3 linked regions of the Cricetulus griseus genome follow. The protein of the gene in region 1 interacts with the protein of each later gene in a pairwise test. Links are inferred from orthologs where the notes say so. Each region holds a gene or a part of one and is shown in the gene's direction. Other genes may lie near its edges. The genes, in order: Hoxa1, Rgs17 and cysteine-rich hydrophobic domain-containing protein 2.

What was found.
Region 2: the proteins of Hoxa1 (region 1) and Rgs17 interact in binary tests that used the Homo sapiens proteins (3 or more experiments, as listed by UniProt). The two-hybrid records come from large-scale screens. The link is inferred for Cricetulus griseus from reciprocal best matches to the Homo sapiens genes HOXA1 and RGS17.
Region 3: the proteins of Hoxa1 (region 1) and cysteine-rich hydrophobic domain-containing protein 2 interact in binary tests that used the Homo sapiens proteins (3 or more experiments, as listed by UniProt). The two-hybrid records come from large-scale screens. The link is inferred for Cricetulus griseus from reciprocal best matches to the Homo sapiens genes HOXA1 and CHIC2.

Annotation. Positions count from the first base shown.
Region 1 is NC_048601.1:89,184,725-89,192,294, forward strand, and holds Hoxa1 (homeobox protein Hox-A1), read left to right. Parts: upstream 1-3,261; 5' UTR 3,262-3,375; coding exon 3,376-4,024; intron 4,025-4,553; coding exon 4,554-4,909; 3' UTR 4,910-6,009; downstream 6,010-7,570. UniProt on the Homo sapiens protein: Sequence-specific transcription factor. Regulates multiple developmental processes including brainstem, inner and outer ear, abducens nerve and cardiovascular development and morphogenesis as well as cognition and behavior.
Region 2 is NC_048595.1:283,384,959-283,392,528, reverse strand, and holds the start of Rgs17 (regulator of G-protein signaling 17), read left to right. Parts: upstream 1-2,862; 5' UTR 2,863-3,027; intron 3,028-3,461; exon of another isoform or gene 3,462-3,483; intron 3,484-7,570. UniProt on the Homo sapiens protein: Regulates G protein-coupled receptor signaling cascades, including signaling via muscarinic acetylcholine receptor CHRM2 and dopamine receptor DRD2.
Region 3 is NW_023276807.1:141,512,169-141,519,638, reverse strand, and holds part of cysteine-rich hydrophobic domain-containing protein 2, read left to right. Parts: intron 1-3,801; coding exon 3,802-3,858; intron 3,859-4,021; coding exon 4,022-4,081; intron 4,082-7,470.

The DNA of each region.
Region 1 (7,570 bases):
TCCCTCTTCTTTTGTCTGCCCCTACTTTGATTTGTTTGTTTATTTATTTTCTGGGCTCTGTTCTGATGACTTACTTGCTGTGAGAAACTGCAGCAACATGTGCGTGAGGCCAGCTGATTGGTGTCTAAGAACCCAGCTCTTAACTGCAAAGGCTTGGGAATTACAATGAAACCTCAATCTTTCTTCAGGGGTATGCTCCCTACCGCCCTGTCCCTCCACCCTTTACTCCCCCAGGCCCTCAGCAGCCTTGATGTGTGGGGACTGTGTAGGTTCAAACCCCAGACTCCAAGAGAGCCAACCAGGGCGTCCCCGGCTGTGGCAGAACTGTTGAGCTCCTGGATGCGATTCGTCCTAAGCTCATAAATCAAACGCTTTCTATGAATGAGAATGTCATCAAAGAGATCAATTGCAGGAACACATGCACAAATAAAAAACCTCTTACGTATTTGCCGGGGATCCCCGTCCGAAAGCATTAAGTTAGAAGGCGTTTAGTCATAATTCATTTTTATTGCTCTTTTAAAACAACAGCTTGGCTGAGCCGCGGATGCCAAGAACAGCTCGGGGCCTCTGTTTGTCTCCTCCTTGTTCATTCCCTTTCCAGTGGAAGGGCCATGAAAGAGACACTTGGAGCCAAGCAAGCCGCTTGCAGAGGATTATTTCACTCATGGCCCAAGCTCGCCTTTCACCCACTCTACTGGGGGCTATTTAAAGAGACTTTAGCTCGATTGCGTGGGTTGCTGGCCTGCTTGCTCAAAAGACCAAAGGTCTCTTACCCTGCTCAGTAGCCTTCCCGATGATTCCTCCAGGGTGGGGGCTGGGAAAGAATCAGGGCTGCAGAAGCCTACCGAGATCAGGCTAGGGGAGGCTGTCTTGGAAAGCCTACCCGGGAAAGCATGGGCCGCAGCCGCAGCCGGCAGAGGCCGAGCCTGCAGTTAATAGGGCAAGGTCTGTGGAAGCCCGGGTGTCTGTGGGCCGGGTTCCAGTGCCTGCCTGTGATCTCGAGAGGAAAGCACCCCATCTAGTCTGTTCAGGAAAACAAAGGTGGAGGGAGAGGGCTGAAGGGAGTGAGAACTAGCACAAGCAGGCCGACAGAGGCCTGGGGCAGCTTTGAGGCCCCAGTCCTGGAGCTAGCATGTTAATGCAAATCCGGAGGGGAAGCCCACGGAAGGCCAGGAAAGAGGCAAGGGGGAGAAGGAATGGACGTCTCCTGCTAAATGAGCAGCTCACCAGCACTCACTCCATTGAGCCTCTCACTTCCTGCCGACCCACAGGAGTCCCTGCTTTCTTCATAGCTGGAGGACTGCCCTCCCAAGACAACCTCCTCAGGGAGGTCTACCTTGCTTTCCTCTGATGATTCCTCAGGAGCTGAAGCTAAAGCAGGGGAAACTTTCCAGTCCTTGCTCCCCCTTAACCAAGCCTTGGGGGTGAGTCAAAGGTCACAGAGAAACACCACTCCTCAAATAAGTGGTTGCTACTGAGGAAGACCAGACACAAGGTCTACTTAGATCTCCCTGAGGATGGTCAGGTTTGGGACTGGGGGTAGGGGTGGAGGGGACCACAACTTCTATATGTGGAGAACAAAACAAAGTCTGAAGAGTGACCTCACATTTGAAAAGTGGCTGCTCTGAACAAAACTTCCTTTTTCTATAGACAGAGAACACCCAAACTCACACATAAATTACTCTGATAATTTCACGTCTAGAAGCATGGTCAGAATAAAACCTGTGCAGAATTGCTTGCAAGGTTTCTTAGGTGATCACTGACTTTCTCCTACTTAAGAACGCGTTCATTCTCTGTGTGGCCTTTTCTCTCTTCAAGCCTAGGGCTGACATTAAACCTAACAGTAAACAGCAATTACCAACACCATCAGCATCATCGTAGGGGTGAGGTTGATGGAAAACAGGACCCCTGTCCTGGGATGATGCTCACATTTGCACGTGTCTCTCTGGGGAGTGACCTGAAGGTTCACACAAGCAACTACACAGTCCGTTGGAAAGTATACAATCCACTCAGCCATCTGTCCACTGCCCCTCCCACCTGCCAGTCCCTCCCCACCCCCCAGACATGCAATAGGGGGCGGTGGCAAGAGGAGGTTTTCCCACTCCTAACAAGCAAGCCCCTTATGAAAGAGAGAAATGTGACGCGGGAGGTCAGCATACTTTGTAAGAACTGTGCGATCCGTCCTTCTGTCCCGTCCCTCCGTCCCTCTGAGGCCTACGCTGGAGCGAGCAAGCTCCTGGGTCTCTAAGAGCAGACAGAAGGCCTGCAGCTCAGGCTCGGCCCTCATGCCGGCCACGTCTGCTAGCGTCATCTTTCTCATCTGCCTTCCACCCTCAAACTCCAGCAGCAGAGTTGCTCCGGATCCTGAGGGACTACCAAGAGCAAAGCTGACTGACTGGGAAGGAGAAAGGGGAAGAGATCCAGAGAAGAGGGAGGGCAGAGAAGAGAGCAGACACCCGGACTTTCCCAGAGAGCTGGGTTCCTAGGGCTCCCCCGCCCCCCTGGGGTCGAATTACAGAAGCTCCCATAGCCACGCTATTGGCCCGTAGGAGTCAGGGCAGAGGGCTCTGAGACCCTCCGGATGAGGACAGTAGCTTCTTTTCTTTCTCTGGTCCCCATCACACCCACCCTGATTCCTCCCAGACAATCCTTTGCGCACGTCCCCCTACATTCCGAGGCGGGTGAGGCAGTGACGCAGCCTTGCCCTAGGCGCCTGGGTTCCAGGCTCAAGTCTCTGCAGGGACTGGGTGGTGGCGGCCATCCCGAGCTGAGGGGATGATGTGTGCTGGATTCCTACCCTTCCCACCCTGTTTGCTCCCGGCTCCGCCAGGGTCCTTGAGACCATGCAGAGAGCTCTGGCCTACCGAGGCCCGCCTCAAGAGAGCCGAGAGGCCTCGTCCCCTCTCACCTCTTGTCAGTTCAGCTTTCTAGGCTGGGTGGGGAAAGGGCCGCGGAGGGTCGCCTCCCATCCCCCACATCCTGGAGGCGGAGGCGAGCAGAGTCGGGCGCGCGCAGAAGTCAATCTCTACTCCCCTTGGCCCCAGTGCTCCAAGTCAGCTCTGGCAGCGGCCGGAGCAGCCGCCGCGGCCCGGGCAGCCTGGGGGGGCGACCGCGCGTCACCTAGACTGAGGAGCGCCGGGGATTTAAATGCCACTGAAACGGTGATCCATCACCGCCGCAGCCGGTAAACTTTCGCAGGCGGCTCAGCCATTGGTTGACAAAGTCACGTGTCCTTCCCCTTGAGTCCTCCGCCTTCCCGCCCCGCCTCTTGCGCACTGTACATTCATATCATTTTTCTTCTCTGGTCCCATGGAGGAAGTGAGAAAGTTGGCACGGTCACCCAGGGCTTCGCAGGACCCAGTCACTCAGTGACAGATGGACAATGCAAGAATGAGCTCCTTCCTGGAATATCCCATCCTTGGCAGTGGCGACTCCGGGACCTGCTCTGCGCGAGCCTACACCTCTGACCATGGGATTACAACTTTCCAATCCTGCGCGGTCAGTGCCAACAGCTGCGGCGGCGACGACCGCTTCCTAGTGGGCAGGGGGGTGCAGATCAGCTCGCCCCACCACCACCACCATCACCACCCCCAGCCGTCTACTTACCAGACTTCTGGGAGTCTGGGGGTTTCCTACTCCCACTCGAGTTGTGGTCCAAGCTATGGCGCGCAGAACTTCAGTGCGCCTTATGGCCCCTATGGATTAAATCAGGAAGCAGACGTAAGTGGTGGGTACTCCCCGTGCGCTCCCGCTGTTTACTCTGGAAACCTCTCATCTCCCATGGTCCAGCATCACCACCACCACCACCACCAGGGTTATGCTGGGGGCACGGTGGGCTCGCCTCAGTATATCCACCACTCTTATGGACAAGAGCACCAGAGCCTGGCCCTGGCCACGTATAATAACTCCTTATCCCCTCTCCACGCCAGCCACCAAGAAGCCTGTCGCTCCCCTGCTTCAGAGACGCCTTCTCCAGCGCAGACCTTTGACTGGATGAAAGTCAAAAGAAACCCTCCCAAAACAGGTGAGTCCTGCCGGCTGGCAAACAAATGTTGCTTGATTTTGAAAGGGGCCGGTGCGCTTAGTTTCCTAGGAAAGTTAATGATTTTAAAAGATGGGTTCTTGCTTCTGTCTAGTGTCTTCTGGAGTTATAGTGTGTGGTGTAGGATGCCCAGGTGTGTTGGGGCAAAGCAGTTTCTGGACCTGGCATTTTCAAAGGGGCTGATGCTTCAGTGGTCTAGAAGTAGGAAGCGTGTGTGTGTGTGTGTGTGTGTGTGTGTGTGTGTGTGTGTGTGTGTGTGTGTGTGGTGTGGTGTGGGTGGGAGGTGTCGGTGGTGGTGGAGTTTTGTTAATATCTACAGGCTCCATTAATCAGAAGCCTGACCACGCTAATGGTTGACTTCAGGTTAACACTTTACATACACATCGTTTGTCACTAGAGCTTCCCAGCTGGGTTTGTGCTGAGCAGTTAACCGAATGTTGCCCCGAACATTGGGCAATCGGATAAGGGTTAAAGAATTTTTACCTTTTCCTCTCTTCCTCCGTTACCCCAGGGAAAGTTGGAGAGTATGGCTATGTGGGTCAACCCAACGCAGTGCGCACCAACTTCACCACCAAGCAGCTCACGGAGCTGGAGAAGGAGTTCCACTTCAACAAGTACCTGACACGAGCGCGCAGGGTGGAGATAGCCGCGTCCCTGCAGCTCAACGAGACCCAGGTGAAGATCTGGTTCCAGAATCGCCGCATGAAGCAGAAGAAGCGTGAGAAGGAGGGGCTCCTGCCCATTTCTCCAGCCACTCCTCCTGGAAGCGACGAGAAAGCTGAAGAATCTTCTGAGAAATCCAGCTCCTCGCCCTGCGTTCCTTCTCCAGCATCATCTACCTCAGACACCCTGCCTACCTCCCATTGAGGCCACTCCAGCCCAGCTCCGTAGTCCAGGCTTCTCCCTGGGCTAGGGTTTCTTACCCAAAGCACATCTCTAGCTTATCTTTCTTCCTTTACAGTCTCTCTTTTTCTTTCTGGTCCAATCCAGAGAGCTCCTGGGCAACATAATGTAGTTCCATAGAATTCTGGAGACTTGGTTGTAAATTAAATCCTTAATCCACATCGGGTGCCCATATCAATTTCTGGTGGCCCCCAAAATTCCTTCCTCACTGTTGTGAGAGTTTTTTTTACACAACCCATGGTTCCTTTCAGATGTCCCTTGGAGGACAGTACCCTTTGCCAGCAGGCATTTGAAGAAGGGAGGCATCTCACCTTTTATCTGTATATTGTTCTTCTCTACCTGGCTCTTAAGTAGGACACACAAAAAAGAGAGTATCCAAAGGCTCATGAAGAAGAGATTGACTGAGTGTGTTTACACAATTAATTCACCCCTTAACTTTCTCTTGAGAGATTTATCTTTATACAGATTTTCTAGAAACATGCAGAACTATATCAAACAGGGTGGGCAAACTTCCAAAACTGGTGATTATGGGTGGACAAAAAAGGGGGGACCCTGGCATTCAAACAGAACCAGATTCCTCAAAAGGTAGCCTCAATTTGCTCTTGCAGAGTCAAGAAGGCCTGAGAAGCCCAAAGTTCAGAACCTTTGCTGTGCCAAGACTTCCCAAATTACCGATTTCTTCTTGCTTCTCTGGCCACCCTCCACTTAAAAAGTGTGCTGGATTATTTGTAACCTAAAGGTACTCTTTTCAGTCACCCTTTCTTTCCACAGTTATCTTGGCTGGATACAATGTATTTTCAGCTAATTGTTAATGTGATGGCACAATGAATGTATATTTTGTGTGATTCGTGAATAGTCTTCTGCATGTCGCACAATGTTTTGATGTCCCTGAAGTACCACACTGAGTTCTATCAGTTATCTTTTGTGAGCCTACGATAGTCCCCCTTTCCTGTACAATCATGAACAGCTCTGAGATCCCAGAGGGATGTGATCCAGAGCAGAGTTTACGGGTCTTAAGACGTCTGTAATAAAAAATATTCAAGTTTTGGGTATGCTTAAGCATCTGTGTATTTGGCTGGGCTACAGTTTGTGTCTTACTACAAAGTAAGGGGAAGGATATATGGGGAAGGACAGAAGGGTGGTATTTATTTTCAAAGAAGTGGGCCCTCCATTGTCATGTAGCTTGCAGCATTCCTTATAAGTATAGCCTCATCCAACCAATGTCTAGCTAATGCACTGATCTCTTTATCATAACAACCACTCCTTTATTATAACCAAAGTTCAAAATGGAAAAACTAGTGAAGCAATGTATGAAGGAGATCTATTTTTGAAACAAACATGGATACTTCCCGGGTCAAGTGCTAACCTTTTCACCTCCAACTGAATGTTGACACATATATAAACAGAGCCCCTTCAAAAGCTGAAAACTGTCTTCAGTCAGTCTTTCCTCACATTAGAGAACCAACGGCAGAGAGATTCACATTTAATCAGCTTCAGTATAAAAGTATCTTTTAAGTTGAGTATGGTCTGCCTCCCACCCCCTGTTCTTTCTATCAATATCCATTCTTTCAACCACTCCCTTACATCTCTGCATTGCAATCTTATCCCTTCAAATTCAACTTTCATGTCATTGCCATCATGACTGCAAAGGCTCTCCATTTCTAATTCCATGCCACATAGGCTGGGCAGAAGTTGATAGTCTCTAGATTCAGATTCTTCCAGTTGACCTTATGAAAACCAGCTCACATCTTTGTGTATCCAAGTTGTTTCTGATAGAGGCATGTGTCAGATCTCAGAGGGAGTCAACAAATGATGACATTCAACAGAGCTGTTCTAGACCTCTTGCCAATTTCCTTTTATTTTTTAACATATTTCAGGGTTTAAGCAACATTTTCTAACTCTTTTCCTGGTGGTGCTGGGGATGGGACTCAGAGCCTTGTACGTTCTAGGCAAGTGTTGGACCTTCCTCAGTTTTCACACACATTTGGAGGCTTTGAGCCCTCAGAGCAGAGTAGAAAATCTACAGCATCACAGATACAGACATGTGACTTCCTTTTCAAAGGGTGTTTTGAAAAGATGGGCTGAGGAGAAAAACCTACAAACCTTCGGAATTTGCAGGCCTTCTAGAACACTTGTGAGATTTCCTGCACAACCCTGTTAAATGGACTTTGTGGGAGCAGTTGCTGCATGCATATCAAGGGCTCTGGGCACCCTCCCTCAGCTGCTGGTTCTGAGGTCGCCTGAAAAGATTCAAGTGGATGGAGAGAACTTCAAAGACACCACCCTTTTCTTTCATTTCCCCGCCTGGCTATACTGTATCTTTTGTTTATTAGTGTAAGGCCACAAAGCAAAACAGATGGCTGGTTTTCAAATACTTTAATGTGTTAAAGTGCCATTTGCATACCACTGTCCTGATTTCAATATCTGAAAGCAGGGTCTGACCTGCAGGAATCCTAGAGATTCCTATCTTCAAGGTGCTGGTTTTAATGTAGCTAAGAGGGAAGAGAACGATAAATTATGGCTAAATATCCCTAGCCTTTCCTAGGTGGTAGAATAAATCAGCTAACAAGCAATGCATTTAGGAGACATTAATATACCTTTCAACAAGGAAAACATTTGTATCTT
Region 2 (7,570 bases), on another chromosome or scaffold:
TTTGGTGAGAAGCAATTAGAATCCAAGAAAAACCAGCAGTGAACACCAAAGACACATTTTCTAGGTTTTTGATTTATTCAATCATTCACTTGTTCATTCAACAGATATTCATCAAGTTGATATTACATGCTGAATCCTGTTCTGAACCATGGAGATGCAACAGAAAAGAAAAGTGAAGTTTTGGAAGACTTTATTCTAATATGGGATGAAAAGGTAGAAACTAAGCAACTTATTTAGATATTGGGAAAAGTATTTCTTTAATAAAATAAAACAATACAAGGGGATCCTTCTAAATAGAAAAGAACTGCTTGTCTCATTGGAATAGTTTTCATGGTGGTTGGATCAGGCCTTTCTTGGAAACAGATGCATCCATGACATTAAATTGCCTGCTATGTAAAGAAGTACATGAATAGGATTCTAGGAAGAAAGACAACAGGTATCATATGCTGACATCCCTATGCAGCCAGAACAATCATCATTCTGGTCCATGGAAGCAAGATAAGAGCAAATAAAGTTGGAAGACTATTGAACAGAACCTCCCAAGGTAAGAGATGGATCATGGGCTGTGTTTAAAATACAAGGGAAGTCTAGAGGATTTTAAGTAGTCACATGACAAGATCTGCATGCTTCTAGAAGATCATTAAGCTGATATTTAGAGTGTTTGGGGAGGAGAAAACAGGGGATTCAAATAGAAGACCTTGAGTTATCTAAGTAAGAGATGGTAGTGGATTGGATCAAGGCTACCATAGTGGAGAAGGAACTGAGTGTACAAATTGGGTATGTATTTTTGAGGAAGAGATAATATGACTTGCTAATTAACTGGATGAGGATGAAGACAAGGAGGTAAAGCAAGGATGGCTTTACATTTTTGGATTGGATAACTGGGTTGAACAATCCAAGGAGGAACAGGTTTGGAGGGGGTGGATTTCTGCCACTCAGCCTCTGAGATGCCTGCTAAACATGATAATAATAGTATCTACCTTGTGGGGTTGTTGCGCAAAGAGAATAGGAAACACATGAAAATAATTTAGGCCAATATCCAGCAGCAACTAATTGCTCAATAAATATTAATGGTGATAACGGTAACAGTAAAGGCAGTTGTTCAAGAATTGTTAGTAGCTGTAATTCTTCAGTTAAGGTGGGTCAGCTCATTAGAGATTAGGAATAAAGATACTAGTGTAAGAGGGTATTACCAAGGAGTCACTGCAGCTTATACCATTGGGAGAATATTTTTGGTCCATTATGGACCAATAATATAGAACACTTGTCTCCATAAATCCCTTTGTTAAAACCCTAACTCCCAAAGTAATTGCAGTCAGAAGTGTTAGATTCAAAAGTGGTTAGATCACATGGATGAAGCATCATGTAGAGACATAGTGGTCTTTATAAATGTCACACCAGAGGGCCGTCTTATTTACCCTGGGACTGTGAGTCCAAAGCATTACATATGTCAGTACTTGACCCCTCATAAAACACCCAACCTGACTACATCTGACCTTGGACTCTTTGACCCTCTCCAGTATTGTGATGGGTTAGTTTCTGTTGTCTGTGAGTCACCCATTCTGTGATATGTTGTTAGAACACCCATAATGGATCAAAATGTACTTTCGTAATCTCCAACAACAACAACAAATGAATTACGCTTAAAATAGAGCATGCCAGCTACAACTGACTGAAGCACTTAGATGCCATGGCAATGGTAAATCGCTACAAAAATTCCTAAATTTCAGTCTCCATTTCTGTGCTTATTTCTCATTACAAATCAGTAGAGTTTGTAGATCAGCTCCAAGGAGTGCATTTTCAGGGCATTAGTACACAAAGCCATTGGGTGTAGCTCAAGAAAAGAGCTCTCTCTCTCTCTCTCTCTCTCTCTCTCTCTCTCTCTCTCACACACACACACACACACACACACACACACACACACACACACACACACACACACACCCCAAGTTATATTAATTGGAGGAGGTGGGGCAAGGGCTGGAATACAACAGTATTTGCATACAGGAGGACCCCAGCAGGAGGCTGTCATATACATCTACAAGCAATCAGTTCTAATTAGGTGTAAGGAAAAAGCCTAATCACTCCTGCAGGAACTCACTCCCCTTCCCACAGATGTGGAATCTAAAGAGAAAGACATCCGCTCTCCTTGCCCTGCCTCAGAAACACTTCAGCCTAATCACAGGAGGTACAATCTAGGGCTTGGAATGCATTAAGCATCCAAGGCTCCTTCATTACCAAGCTGTGCTCTGCTGGGGAGCAGATTAGCAATTCCTGTCACTGTCAAGGGGTCCTATAAGGATGCTTTAAGCCCCAGGTTTCCACAGCCGGCTAAGTGTTCTTGACTCCTGCCCTGAATTAGGTTTCTCTCACTGAACCCCAGCTCCAGAAGCCCAGAAGGTGTATCTACCTAAGGCCAGAGAGCGCCTGGAGGAATTCTTGGGTATTTCTGGGTAAGACATCAATAAAAGTAAAAGACTCATGTTTACACTCCCTTGAAGCCAGCCCAAACCTAAGGCTCCTTGAGTGCCTAAGAGACCTGCAGGCCTGGTCCCAGGACTAGGCAACACCACTTGAGCTATGGGTGAAAGCAAATTAGGAGAGTTCTTCCTTGTAAATTGCGTCCTTTCCAGGAAGGCACCCCGAGCCTCCCCACTGGTGTCGCCTAGCCGCCTGGCACCGAGACACAGTGAGCTCGGTCCCCGGGCGGGCACGCCAAGGAGGGACACGACGGTGGTGACTCACGCGGGCGCGCGCCCGCGGGAGGGGAGGACGCCTCACCTCCGGCAGAGCGGAGCGAGGGGCTGCCAGACGCATGCGCTGCGAGCCGCTTGTTCGCTCTCTCGCTCCCTCCCCGCCCACCCCAGCCTCCTCCCTCTCCGCTCTCTGCTGGCCTGGCTCCCTGTCTCCGTCGCCCGGTGCTGAAGTTGGGTGGATGGCAGTGAGCCGGCTCCTCTAGAGGACTGAGCAGCCCAGCCTCGCGCACCCTCGGACCGCGGTGCGCTCACCCACACCCCAGGCCACCCGGTAAGGCGCGACCTCTGAATCCCTAATAGGATAAGAAATGACATAAAAATGTCTGCTTTGCACTGATGGGTGGGTTTGATTTTTTTTTCCTTTGCTCATTTTGCCCTCCCCACCCCCCCACCACACACACACACACACACACACACACACACACACACACACACACACACACACGGCGAGGAGGAGGTGTGAGAAAGAGGGAAGGGGGGCAAGGGGGAATGTCTGTCGCCAGTCCCTGGCTGGTGAGACAGTGGGGTGCGCGGGTGTCAGTGGGCAGCACCGCTCGGTGGCTCCGCGAAGTTGAATCCCGCGTGGCCCGCCGCAGGGCTCAGTCCACTCTCATCCCCCCACCCCTGCCGGCTCTGCAGAGGGTCTGGACGGTTGTCCTGCCGGGTCGCGGTTTCGGGTGTCCCCGCTCCCGCGGGGAAAGGACTCAACACCTTCGGGGACCTGGAGGTGAGAGAGCTCTGCAGTGGCGGGAGGGGGAGCGCGCAGGGGATCTGGGTCCCCAAGCTTTTCGTGGCTGTTTGGTCTCAGCCGCGAACCACCTCGGGTGGTCTCATTTCTCCTTTTATCTGTTGGTGCCTTTAGGGAAAATAAGCGATTCAGTGCAGATAATGGTTTTACAGATACCTTGAGCAGCTGCTGTGAGTGTGTGTGCGCGCGCGTTGCGTGTGTGTGTGTGTGTGTGTGTGTGTGTGTGTGTGTGTGTGTATTGCAGAAGGTGAGAGTCTCTTTTGTTCCTCCCCCACCCCTGAGAAAACGAGTTCTGGTGTGCATGGCACCGGGTCGGTTTTACAGAAATCGAGAGAGTGAAGATCAGGAACGCCCACCAGCCCCCAGCCGCTGCCCCGCTGGGTGGCATCACAGACTTCCTTGCTGTGGGAGCTGGGTCTCCTGATTACGGATGGATCACAGCTTCTAGCTGCCTCCTCGCTAGCCTCCCTCCTCCTCTCTTTTCTCGGGCTGCCGCAGAGGCTGGTTGCAGACACTTTCCTGTTGTCTCCTCTTCTCCCTACCTCTGTGTCTTGGTGAAAAATGTCGGAGGACCTGAGGATGGCGGAAGAACAGAGCATCGGGTGGGGACCTGCTCCTGACTAGCAGGAGGCGCACCACTCACTCAGGAGTCTGAGGGCTCCCAGAGACTGAGCATGGGTCACCTGGTCTAAAAGATGTGGGTACAAGACGAGGCGTGTGTCCTTTTCCTCCACGGAGAACTAGGGAAGCAGGCTCGCTTGAGAGATCCTGGTCGCCCAGGAACCCTGCCCCTGGCTCTGAGCATAGTGTTCCAACACTCCCCGCTCCCTACTGACCCTTCAGTAAATTCATCCTTCTATGTCTTGTCTGAAGAACTTTGCAAGCTTTTAGTTGCCCCTTTCCGCCTCCTTAAAGGGGACGGGGGGGAGGGGTTACAGCAGGATTCTGTCCATCATGGGTTGGTTATCACAGAGAAAGAGGAACCTCAATTTGGTTCCCACCTAGGATAAACACTTCTGAGACTGCATTTCCGGTGCTCAGGCACACTGGTTTTCAGCGTGGTGAACCTTTCTGAAAACCATTCAGTTGGTAAAGACAGAAATAAATTTTACTCTGATAATGTTTCCTCGTTAAGTTCTGAGCTACTAGACGCTGTATGAATTGAAGAATTCGCAAACCGTGAGGCTCATTCTTTGTCTGCATCTCCGAAGTCTGTCGTTGTAACAGTAGCAGTTATGCATGGGACATGCATTGCAACACTGATAACCGATCAAAGGGTAATTCATACTCATCTAAGTCACATGACTGAGAAGTTTGACCTTCTGTTAACTTACTATTATGAAGCAACTTCTCCCGTTATCATGAACTAAAATAGTAATCATCCCACTCATGGCAATGTAGGTTTATTAGGTTTATTTACTAATTTATAATCTTAAGGGCTGTATTTAGGGCCTATGGATGAGGTTTATTTACAGTTTGGGGAACTAAGAAGACAAGTGTTTACTATTACAGAAAAGAATATGTTTTGTGAAATGAGATGCCTGTCCATGGGAATAATACCAGAACCCACATCACAGGTAGCATCTTCCCTCTTGAAATTGTCTCCGAAAGATAAAGAAACCCATTCACTTAAAAGCAAGCAGTGTAAGGTGTTCGTTTTGCCCATTTCCACGTTTTTTGACTGTGTTGCCTCAACTTCTCATTAGGTTAGTTAGTCCCTACTTTGGGCACTGTGCTCGTTCTTTTTTTTTTTTTCAGACTCATAGTTTGTATTGTATTTATAAAATAAAATTTATAAAAACGTGAAAAAGGGTAACTCAACATTCAAAAACTTGTTATATTGTTGCATTTACCAAATGATAATTTATCTAACCCTTCCCATCTTAAAATTTTATTCCAAAATCTTCAAGACATTTTCAATATCAATTTATACTCATTATTTATACTCATTATTTCTACCATCTGAAACCTTCAAATTAAGTTATAATAACATAATACATCACATAAGAAATTTTCTATGTGATAGTAGGTGATTAGAAATGTAAAGATTGGTTGAATGAATACAGTGCAGAGTGTATGAGAGGCTTAAAACACTAAATGCTGTTAAACTGGAACTATAATTAGCTTCAGCCAATCAGGGAAATACTAACTGTGTATCTTATTAATTATGCTCCAGGAAATTCAAACATCTAGGATACTGTTTGTGTCCTCATCACCATAAATACAAATTCCTACAGTGTGGATTGTCTACTTAATGCTCAGATTTAGACAATTGCAAAGTTAATTTGGATGCTTATCCAAGTCCCTGGAGCTTTCATTCTTTTTACTATACCATACTTATATGTTACTTATAAATGTCGACATGTTTGGGAAAGCTGCAAGATATTGGTGACAAATATCCATAATTCAAAAAAAGTAAATATTAAATATATATCATAGTGTAGCTATCACATGTGCTCTCTGTCATAATAGAACTCAAGATATATATATATAATATATATAATAATATATATATATATATGTGTGTGTGTGTGTGTGTGTGTGTGTGTGTGTGTGTGTGTGTGTGTTATCTGTGCTCGTTCTTAAAGGATGCCCACCGTATCAGGATTTAGTTCATTTAAGGTCTTAGTGCCAATGGTCTAAATCCATCATAATTCCTAAGGATTTCTTATACTTTTTCAGAATAAATCTCATTAGCATACACCCAGGGAAGACGCTTTGAAAACAAAAAGCTACATTCTTGTTTGGCTTTGTTAAAGAGCTAAATAAATGTGAATTGAATGGTCTCCATCCTAAATGATGAGAATTCTGCTGACTCACAGACTGAAGGGTAAGGAAGAACTTAGATGTGAATGTTCTGCTATGAAGACATGGGATCTTGCACTAGAAGTCTATTTGCTGAAATGTATGGACTTTCCTGGAGAAGTAGTCATTAGCAGTGAAGCAGGGAGCCAAAAGGACAGGAATCCATTCTATGGCATTTGGGAATCCATTCTATGGCATTTCTGTAGGGGATTTGGATACCCTAGTTCTATCTACAGAACAATGAAGATACTTCACTCTCCAGAAGGGAAAATGTGGGCACTAATACATTTATCTGTCAATTACTAAAGACCATACTATGGGGTTTTATAGAGTGCTTCTATAAAACAAATACTTCATTTCCTCTAAGTAGACAGTGCCCATCTTTCCTATCTCCCCTCACCTCCATTTATCCTTTAAGTAACTTTAGCAAATTTTTTAAAAATCCACTTAGATTATTATACTTGCTACTGTGCCAGCACCTAGCACAGTAACTAAGAAAGGGAAGTATTAGATATTTACTAAATGAATTAACTTTGCAAAATTGACATGGCTCAGAAAGGTCTTCTGACCTGCTTAGCTGAAACTATGGGCTCCAGGTTCAGTGAGAAACCTTGTTCTAAAACCTACAGTGGCAGGCTGGGGAGATGGCTTAAGTGGTAAGAATGCTTAGTTTGAAAGCAAGAGGTCCTGAATTCAGATCCCCAGCAACCACATATAAACAAGGCATGTTCTGAATGCCTATAACCGCAACACTGGGTTTCAGGAAGACAGACAGGAAGAGACAAGGAACTTGCTGTCAGTCAACCTGGCAGGGAGTGCTAATGTCAGGTTTAATGAGAGGTCCTCTCTCAAAAGTCAAGGTGTAGAAAAGAAGTCACACACACACACACACACACACACACACACACACACACACACACACACACACAAAATGTTCGTGCTTTACCGAGTACCCACACTGAAATTATGTCCATAGTCTCACATCTTAGAGGAAGCAAGTTTTAGAATTGTAAATATGTTCTCTTGATATAACACTTACAGTTTTGATTTACTTCTTGTGATAAAACCATACTTACTTATTTTAGATCTCTTGGAACACAGGAACTTATATGAAATGAGGATACATGTGGATATAATAAACACAAATTTTCGGTCAAGATATCGTTGGTTTATGTCCTTATTTCTTCATTTAGTGACTTTGCTGTTCATCTGCCTGAGCCTCAGTTTCCTTCTATGCAGAGATTCTGGGACAGCTTTTAAG
Region 3 (7,470 bases), on another chromosome or scaffold:
AAATAAACCCAAATGCTTAGCTTAAGTTTGTACTGCCTGTTCAGTAATTGAAATGTTTTCGAATTTTATTCACTCTAATATAACCAAGCATCTATGTTAGAACTAGCTTACGGTGAGAAAAATGTAACTGTAAAGATGTTGTAATGAAAAGAAGTTAATATTATTGAACTGTCATTCGTAATGAGCTTTGATGAGGAAGGTTGGTGGGGGTCTAGATGCTGGGAGCTGCTGTTCTAACCCAGGTTCACTGCATGATAGCATCTCACCCAAGTCTTGCTTTACTTACGTGGTGTAAGTTGGTGGTCTTGTTTTTCTAATTCAAGACTCTATGTGATAAAAGTAGGTTTCTTGTTGACAGCCTAGGCAGAAGGACTGAGGATTCATTGGTAAAGAGCCACTAACCTGTCTTTCCACCCCAGTGTGTGAGTACTGAAAAGGATTAAGGCCCACTGTAGGGAACTTGTACTGAAGCCTGCACTGCCCTTTCTCCTGTCCTTTCAGCTAAACAGAAGATTTTTTAGTTCCCATGACTATCAATCTGGTATTTTTCTCAAGCACTAAATTCTTTTAAGGAAGATAATATGTCTTATTTTTAGAAAGTTGCCTAGAAGAATAATATTTTGTTGGTATTCCATGTTTGATATGAATTTTTTTCTGATCCTTTTAACTTAAAATATTTTGAATTTGCAAGGTAGTATAATCCCTTCAAATTAAATGACAGGTATTTATATGATTAGATTTGCTTGTCCGGTTAATAGATACTAGATTTGGCTGTGTTGAATTTTAATATCTCATTAGAATCTGACAACCCTGTGGACATAAACTCTTAACTTTTATTTCTAGATGACTGTAATTAAAATGTGCTTTCTTCCCACTGAAGTTTAAAAGCTTTGAAATAGCTTTTATAATGCTGAAATGTCATATTTCCCCCACTATCTGCCAAATTGGTATTGTACTTCATCTTGAAAATATATTTTGATTTTGTTAACTAAAAATAATTGCATAGTATTAAACATTCTCTATGGTTAAGCCTTTTTTTCTTCCATTTAATTTGATCTTTTGTTGTTACTAACAAATAATTTGTGGCACAGTTTCTTTCTTTACTTTTTTTTTTTTTTTAAATCATTGCTAGAATCACTTACTTGTCACCTTAGTGTGCTAGAAATGTTCTACTCAAATCAAGGGTTCCTTTCTGGTTTTGTGTGTTCTCACCTGCTCCTCGCTGCAAATCATTGAGATGTCAAGTGCAGTGATTAATTAAGCTGCACGTGCAAGTGCCTTTTTTTCACCTGTCAAGCAGGAGAGAAGTCTTATAGCAAGATTAGATGGTGCTAATTCACAGCTTTACTTCAGACTTCAACAGTGTAGAAATATTGAATATTCAGATGATCATACAGAGTATGGCATAGCAAACTTTGTTTGCTTTAGAATTCTTAATATTATGGGATACAATTATACCCAACCCTATTATTAAACTCCTAATTAGAGACAAAGAATAAATTCGAAGTTCCTAAATAAATATTTTAGAATTTTAGGTTCATACTTCGTAATTATCTTTATACAAATACTGGTATTTGATTTAAGATAAAAGTAAATATTTTTAAGTTTGTAAATGTCATGTGTATGTGTGCATGCGTATATATCTATGTATGAATGATAATAAGATGTTCTCACTGTATATAGCATAGCTTATACATTCTGATAAGTTGATATGGTTTAAAAAACACTCTTTTCTTTGAATAATAAATATTGCAAAATGTAATGTTAAGTTTTTAGCAACTACTTTTATATAGTTTTACTATAAAACAACAGACTTCAAGAGCTATTTCTCCCTACTCTATTTCTTTAATTTTCCCCATCTTCTTTTAAACCATCAGTAAAAGTAAAACCTCAAATTGTATAGTAATCTTAATCTATTATTAAAAGGTCCTAGAAAGGAAGATTACAAGGTGGATTCAGGTTTTGAAACGGTTTTACCATTGGTTTAGCAGCGGGTGGGCAGGCAGATGCCTGCTCATAGTAGAACCTATTGCCATTTTTCACCATTGATAGAGTAGCCTTTCAGAGTCAATGAGCTCTGTCAATGTGAGCTTGTCAAGGCTACAACTTCATAGACCTGAGAGGCGGTTTGAGAGGTCAGCCCTTTTCAGGTTCGCTGTGATGCAAATGAACTTTAATGCTTAAACAACTATTGGAATTTTTATGTCTGCTCCTTGTTCTTTTTTCTTCACAAAGTCATTGACGAGACATTCAGTGCTTTTTAAATTGGAAGTTGCATTGTGCTAAAGACCTAGTACAGATTTACGGAGGGCTGAAAGCAGTTAGATCATGTTCTTTTCATGGTGCGATTAGAATCAAATCGATTTCCCTACAGCCTTCAGCATTCAGATGGCAATTTTAACAAAGCTTGGGGGCTAGACAAGGGACAAAACGACTGAACTGAATGTTAATTACTCTCTGCAGCCTTATTTTCTTTTGATTTGGGGCTGACTGGCAACTAAATTAACAAAAAGTGTGACCATAACTGCTGCCCTATTTTCATTTAAAAGGAGAGCTGCCTCTAAAAGGCTATCTTACAAAGAAACAAGTGAGGGCTGCTGATCATTGCTAACAAGGGCACTTTTTCTTTAAAATTCTTACCAAAAAAGACTGTTCAAAAATTGTAATAAATTAGTCATTGACATATTATTGCCAGAAAATGTTGATTTTCTGATTTTTATGACATAAAATTGGAAAATATAAGCACTCGTGGTAATTTGTTGTTAGCTATGAATTATAATTGGTGCCTCTGTGACTTCAGTGTCTTTGTAGCAGTTCAACATGCTGAGATGTAATGCTGGAACTGGATTACAGTAGATACTTTAAATACATCGTAACATTTTTATGTAACAGACTTCAAAACCAGCTTGTTCTACCAGTTTTTCACATCACTCAATGCTGGTTGGCATTCAAGTTTCCATCAGATTATCAGGACTTATTTACAGTTGTGCCACATTTAATATCGGTAGATGCCTTCTTCCTTCTCAAGAAAGCTGCAGCTGCATCAAGTTGCAGTTGGTCTCTTAGCAGTGCTATCACTTCTGCACCTGCAGAGTTAGTCTCATCCTGACACCTGGCTCCATGCATTAGCTTCTTTATTCACACTCCCAAGTGAGAGTGGTCCATGCTGCTTAGTCTGTGCAGCAACTAAGGGAAGCCCTGAAGCAGTAAGTACCCTTGGATTAAGAATCAATTTTACTCTCAGATACAACATTTATGCTGCTTTAAATAAAATTTGGCTGTTTGAAAACTGCAGTAACCAATGAACTGATTTTCTTGCACAGTCCTAAAATTAGTTTGATTTTTATAACTCATTTTCTCCCTTTATTAGCCTTCAGTTAGTAGTGTTTTTATATTTACCCTAAAGGCCATTTATATTTTGTTAACTAATATTTAAATTATTATTGTTTTAAAAATAGAGATTAAGGGATGTTCATTACTATTTAAATACTGAAAAATATTTCCTAAAGAAGTAGGGATTTAAGTTTAAATGAAATGGCATTTGCTTTTTAGACTACTAGTTTTAAATGAAAGGCTAGCAAGTTCAAAATACTTTAAAAATATAAGCATATATACTTAAAACAAAATCAATGTTTCTTTACAAACTACTGTCTCTGATGAGCTTCTTAGTGCTGGACCGTGTAGAGTACAGACCACTCTTGTCATCATTTTATACTTCTTCCCTTTTCACACAAAAAGCAGCTGCAAAACAGCTTTTCTAAAACCAGTCAAGAGTAAACTTTCCCCTCATTTGTCTTCCAGACACGAAGATCGATTGAGAAGTTATTAGAATGGGAAAACAATAGGTTATACCACAAGGTGAGTACTGCAGGGAGCAGCTTCGTACTGTTGGGCTCTGAATTGCACAGTATGGAAACAGATGCTTTTGTTGGCTGAAAATATGAAAGGTGGACGAATGGGTGAGCCTTGTGCCTAGGAAAACAGAGCTCATTTCTCTTCTTTTGCCTTTCTTCGTGTCTAGCTGTGCTTGCACTGGAGACTGAGCAAAAGGAAATGTGAAACGAACAACATGATGGAATATGTAAGTTAAAGGGCTGTTTTGTGAGTTTCTCTATTAAATGATCATTTATTTTGTTTCTGATCTTATTCTTTCCATGATTATTAATCAGCAAAGGTGTCAGGAGCTTAATCTCCTGAGTGCAAGGATTTTCTACGGTTCACAGATGCCTGGGTTTCATGTGCAAGACTGATTTATAAAGTTATGAATGACTTGAAAACAAGGCTTCACTGTGTTCTGAAAAATAATAAATTAATTGCCAAGATAAAATGGCCTGAACATGTGTTGATGGAGTGTGAAATTTTAGATGCTGTATAAAGAATAACCACAACCTTGGTTACGCAGCACGTCAGATATGGCGTTTTTATATAATGCTAATCAAGTTTCCAAGTATGGAAGAGAACCTTTCAGCCAAGCCGTTGGAGCCTGAGAAGCCTTTATAGCCTCTGGCTGCCTGTGTATCTCATGGCTTTAGAGGGTTTTCCAAGTGTTACTAGATCATTGCTTTGTACAGTTATCTTAAACATAAACAGATGTTGGCCAACCTGTTTTGTCCTTTAAAATATGGCTAATTTTGCTTTCACATACATAAATGTGTATGCACGCAATCATTTCAGAAATTTAGTTTATTGATGCCCTTATTTATTTGAACAGTTGTTGTTCTTTTGAAAAGTTCAGAATACTTTAAGAAACTTTGAATTTATTAATTCTCCATTGAGCATGGACAGGTTATTAGATTAAGAGAAAAAGATTTAAGAAAGGAAGAATTTATTGAAACTAAAACTACCAGTCTTTGTGAAGGACCTGGTGTTACATTTCTGAGGAATTTTCACTGTTCTTTGAAACAATATAATCCTCATTGTTTATATGTATAAAAGGTTGGTTAAAAAGTGTTTAAACAGTTGGAAATGTTCATAAAACCATTTCTGATTCTTTCATTATCAGACAGCCAAATCTCCTTTCTCTCCTTGAACATCAAAAATATTTTATGTGTTTGCTCCCCAACCCCAAGCTCTCGCTGTTCACAAACTAAGCAATTTAGGGTTTACCTTTACAATCATATGTTAAATTTCTTTATAACCATAGAAAGGGAACAGCTGAGAGGCCCATTTGAGGTTAACCTGGACAGGTACCAGTCATTTCATCATTGTAAGAGCTCTATTGCCTGTTAGGAGGGCAGGACAGATACTGGGACATTTCAAAGGATTCATGAAATAATGATTTGCTATTATACATGTATAAACCAGAGCACCAAGCTTAAACCTGAAGCTTTAATTACTTTTTGTGTTTCTAAATTTATTTCAGAAAGGGAAAAAATGAAAGTTAATAACAAACTGGATATAGCCCAGTGGTAGAGCATGTGCCTATGACACAAGGGGTTGAATCTCTTGCATTGAGAAAAGAAAAGTGTAAATTATGTGATTTCCAAGTGGAGCTCTATGAAGAACATTCATTCATATAGTATTTGAATTGGATTTTATCTTTAAAAATTCTTTCTTTATAATTAAATTAGTAGCTTTTGAAAACATTCTAAACTGCATAGTTCATGAAATTTTTTAATTTACCTTGAAATTTTGCATAATTAAGTACTTTAAAATGAATTGTATTTCACATGACCATAGAAAGTCTACAAAAGTACTTTTAAAATTGACCTTTAAAGTGATTTTTAGATATTCTTAATGTATGCGTATTTGTAGTAGTTGAAAGCAGGAATAAACAGCTTCGGAAGCTTAAAAGCATTTGAGCACCATAGTCACACACAGAGAGAGGCTAGTAAGAAGAAAAGGCCTCCTTATTTAATGAACTTTGAGCCTTACTACTGTGCATATATATGCCTTTGCCTATAACTTATACAACCTCTGATTGTTAAAGCTAAGTGCTTCCCCTTTATTATATTTTGACTGTTAGAGATAATCTAGAATAAAACACCAATGCAAAACTATTTTTTTGTTTTCACTCATGTATGAAGTGTGTGTAGGATTTGTGAAGGGAAACGTTTGCAGGGCACTGTTCCTTCAAACTAAGGCAGAGTCAGATAGTCAGAAATAGTCATGTTGGGCTAGAGAGTTGGTTCATCAGTTCTGAGCACTTGTTACACTTGCAGAGGATTCAGGTTAGTTCTTAGCATCTCCATGTCTGCTCATATAGAACTCCTGTCCCAGAGGATCTGACATTCTCCTCTAACCTCTGAGGTACCCGGTGCACGCATGCTACATACTTAAATATACACAAATAGTACATGTATATCCATTCAACAAAACACGGATGTATAAAAATAAAAAATAGACACTGTTTTACACTTTGTATATACACTTTAAAATAGTGTGCTCACCCCTCGGGCCTGAAATTTAAAAACACTCTAGTGGAAGATGTGTTTGAATATCTAATATTTATTCAGTGTGAACTTGTAAGTCATGTAAATATTTAATCATTAACCTTTAGAGCTACAAAGAACCTTTTTATCTAGTCCAACCATTTATTTATAGTTGGAAAACATGAGAAACAAGGAAATTGAGCACAAATAAAGAAAGAAGCTGGGTAGAGAAAAAAGTACTTTTTGAAAAGATGTATTTATTTTTATTTTATATGTATGAATGTTTTGCCTGCATGTACGTCTGTGCACCATATTTGTGCCTGGTGCCCTCAAAGGCCAGAAGAAGGCATTGGATCCCCTAGAGCTGGAGTTGTGAGCCACCACATGGGTGCTGGGGAGCGAACCCAGGTCCTCTGTAATTTACATAGAATGTCTCACTGGCTTCCTAGTAGAGTATGTTCTCACTGAGGATAAGTACTTGCTGAGTGCCTAGTCAAAGTATCTCTATTACTCATCTCACAACAAGGCTCAGATAACTCTATGGAAGGGGGAGGAAAGAATGTAAGAACCCGAGGAAAAGGGCACCAGGAAACCCTGTCTTAACACAACCAGTGCTCTTAACCATTGAGTTATCTTTCCAGCCCTGCAATTTTTTTTAAACATATTTTATTTATACTTGGACAATTTCAAACATGTTTAGAATGTATTTTGTTCCCATACCCCTCTTCCTCCATATCTGAAGTTCTATTCCCCACTTCCTCTGGAGCCCTTCTTCTCAACACAACCCCTCTTATACTCCATGTTTATCTGTCTCTTTCTCTTTTAAAAATAACCTGTTGAGTTTAGGGTTGCTAGCATGTGCTTTGGTACAGGATTATTTACTGGATCATGGGCAACTTAACCAATGCCTACACCCTGAAGAAAATGATTCTCCTTCACCCAGCAGCTAGGAATTGCCACTAGCTTCTTAGTTAAGGGGTGAGGTTGCATGAGCCCTTCACCCATCTACCCAAAATCTTGGGCAAGGTAACCCAAGTTCATAAATGTGAGTTCATGAGTATAATGTGCACACCGTGTCCAGAAGACAGGGTTTCCTGGT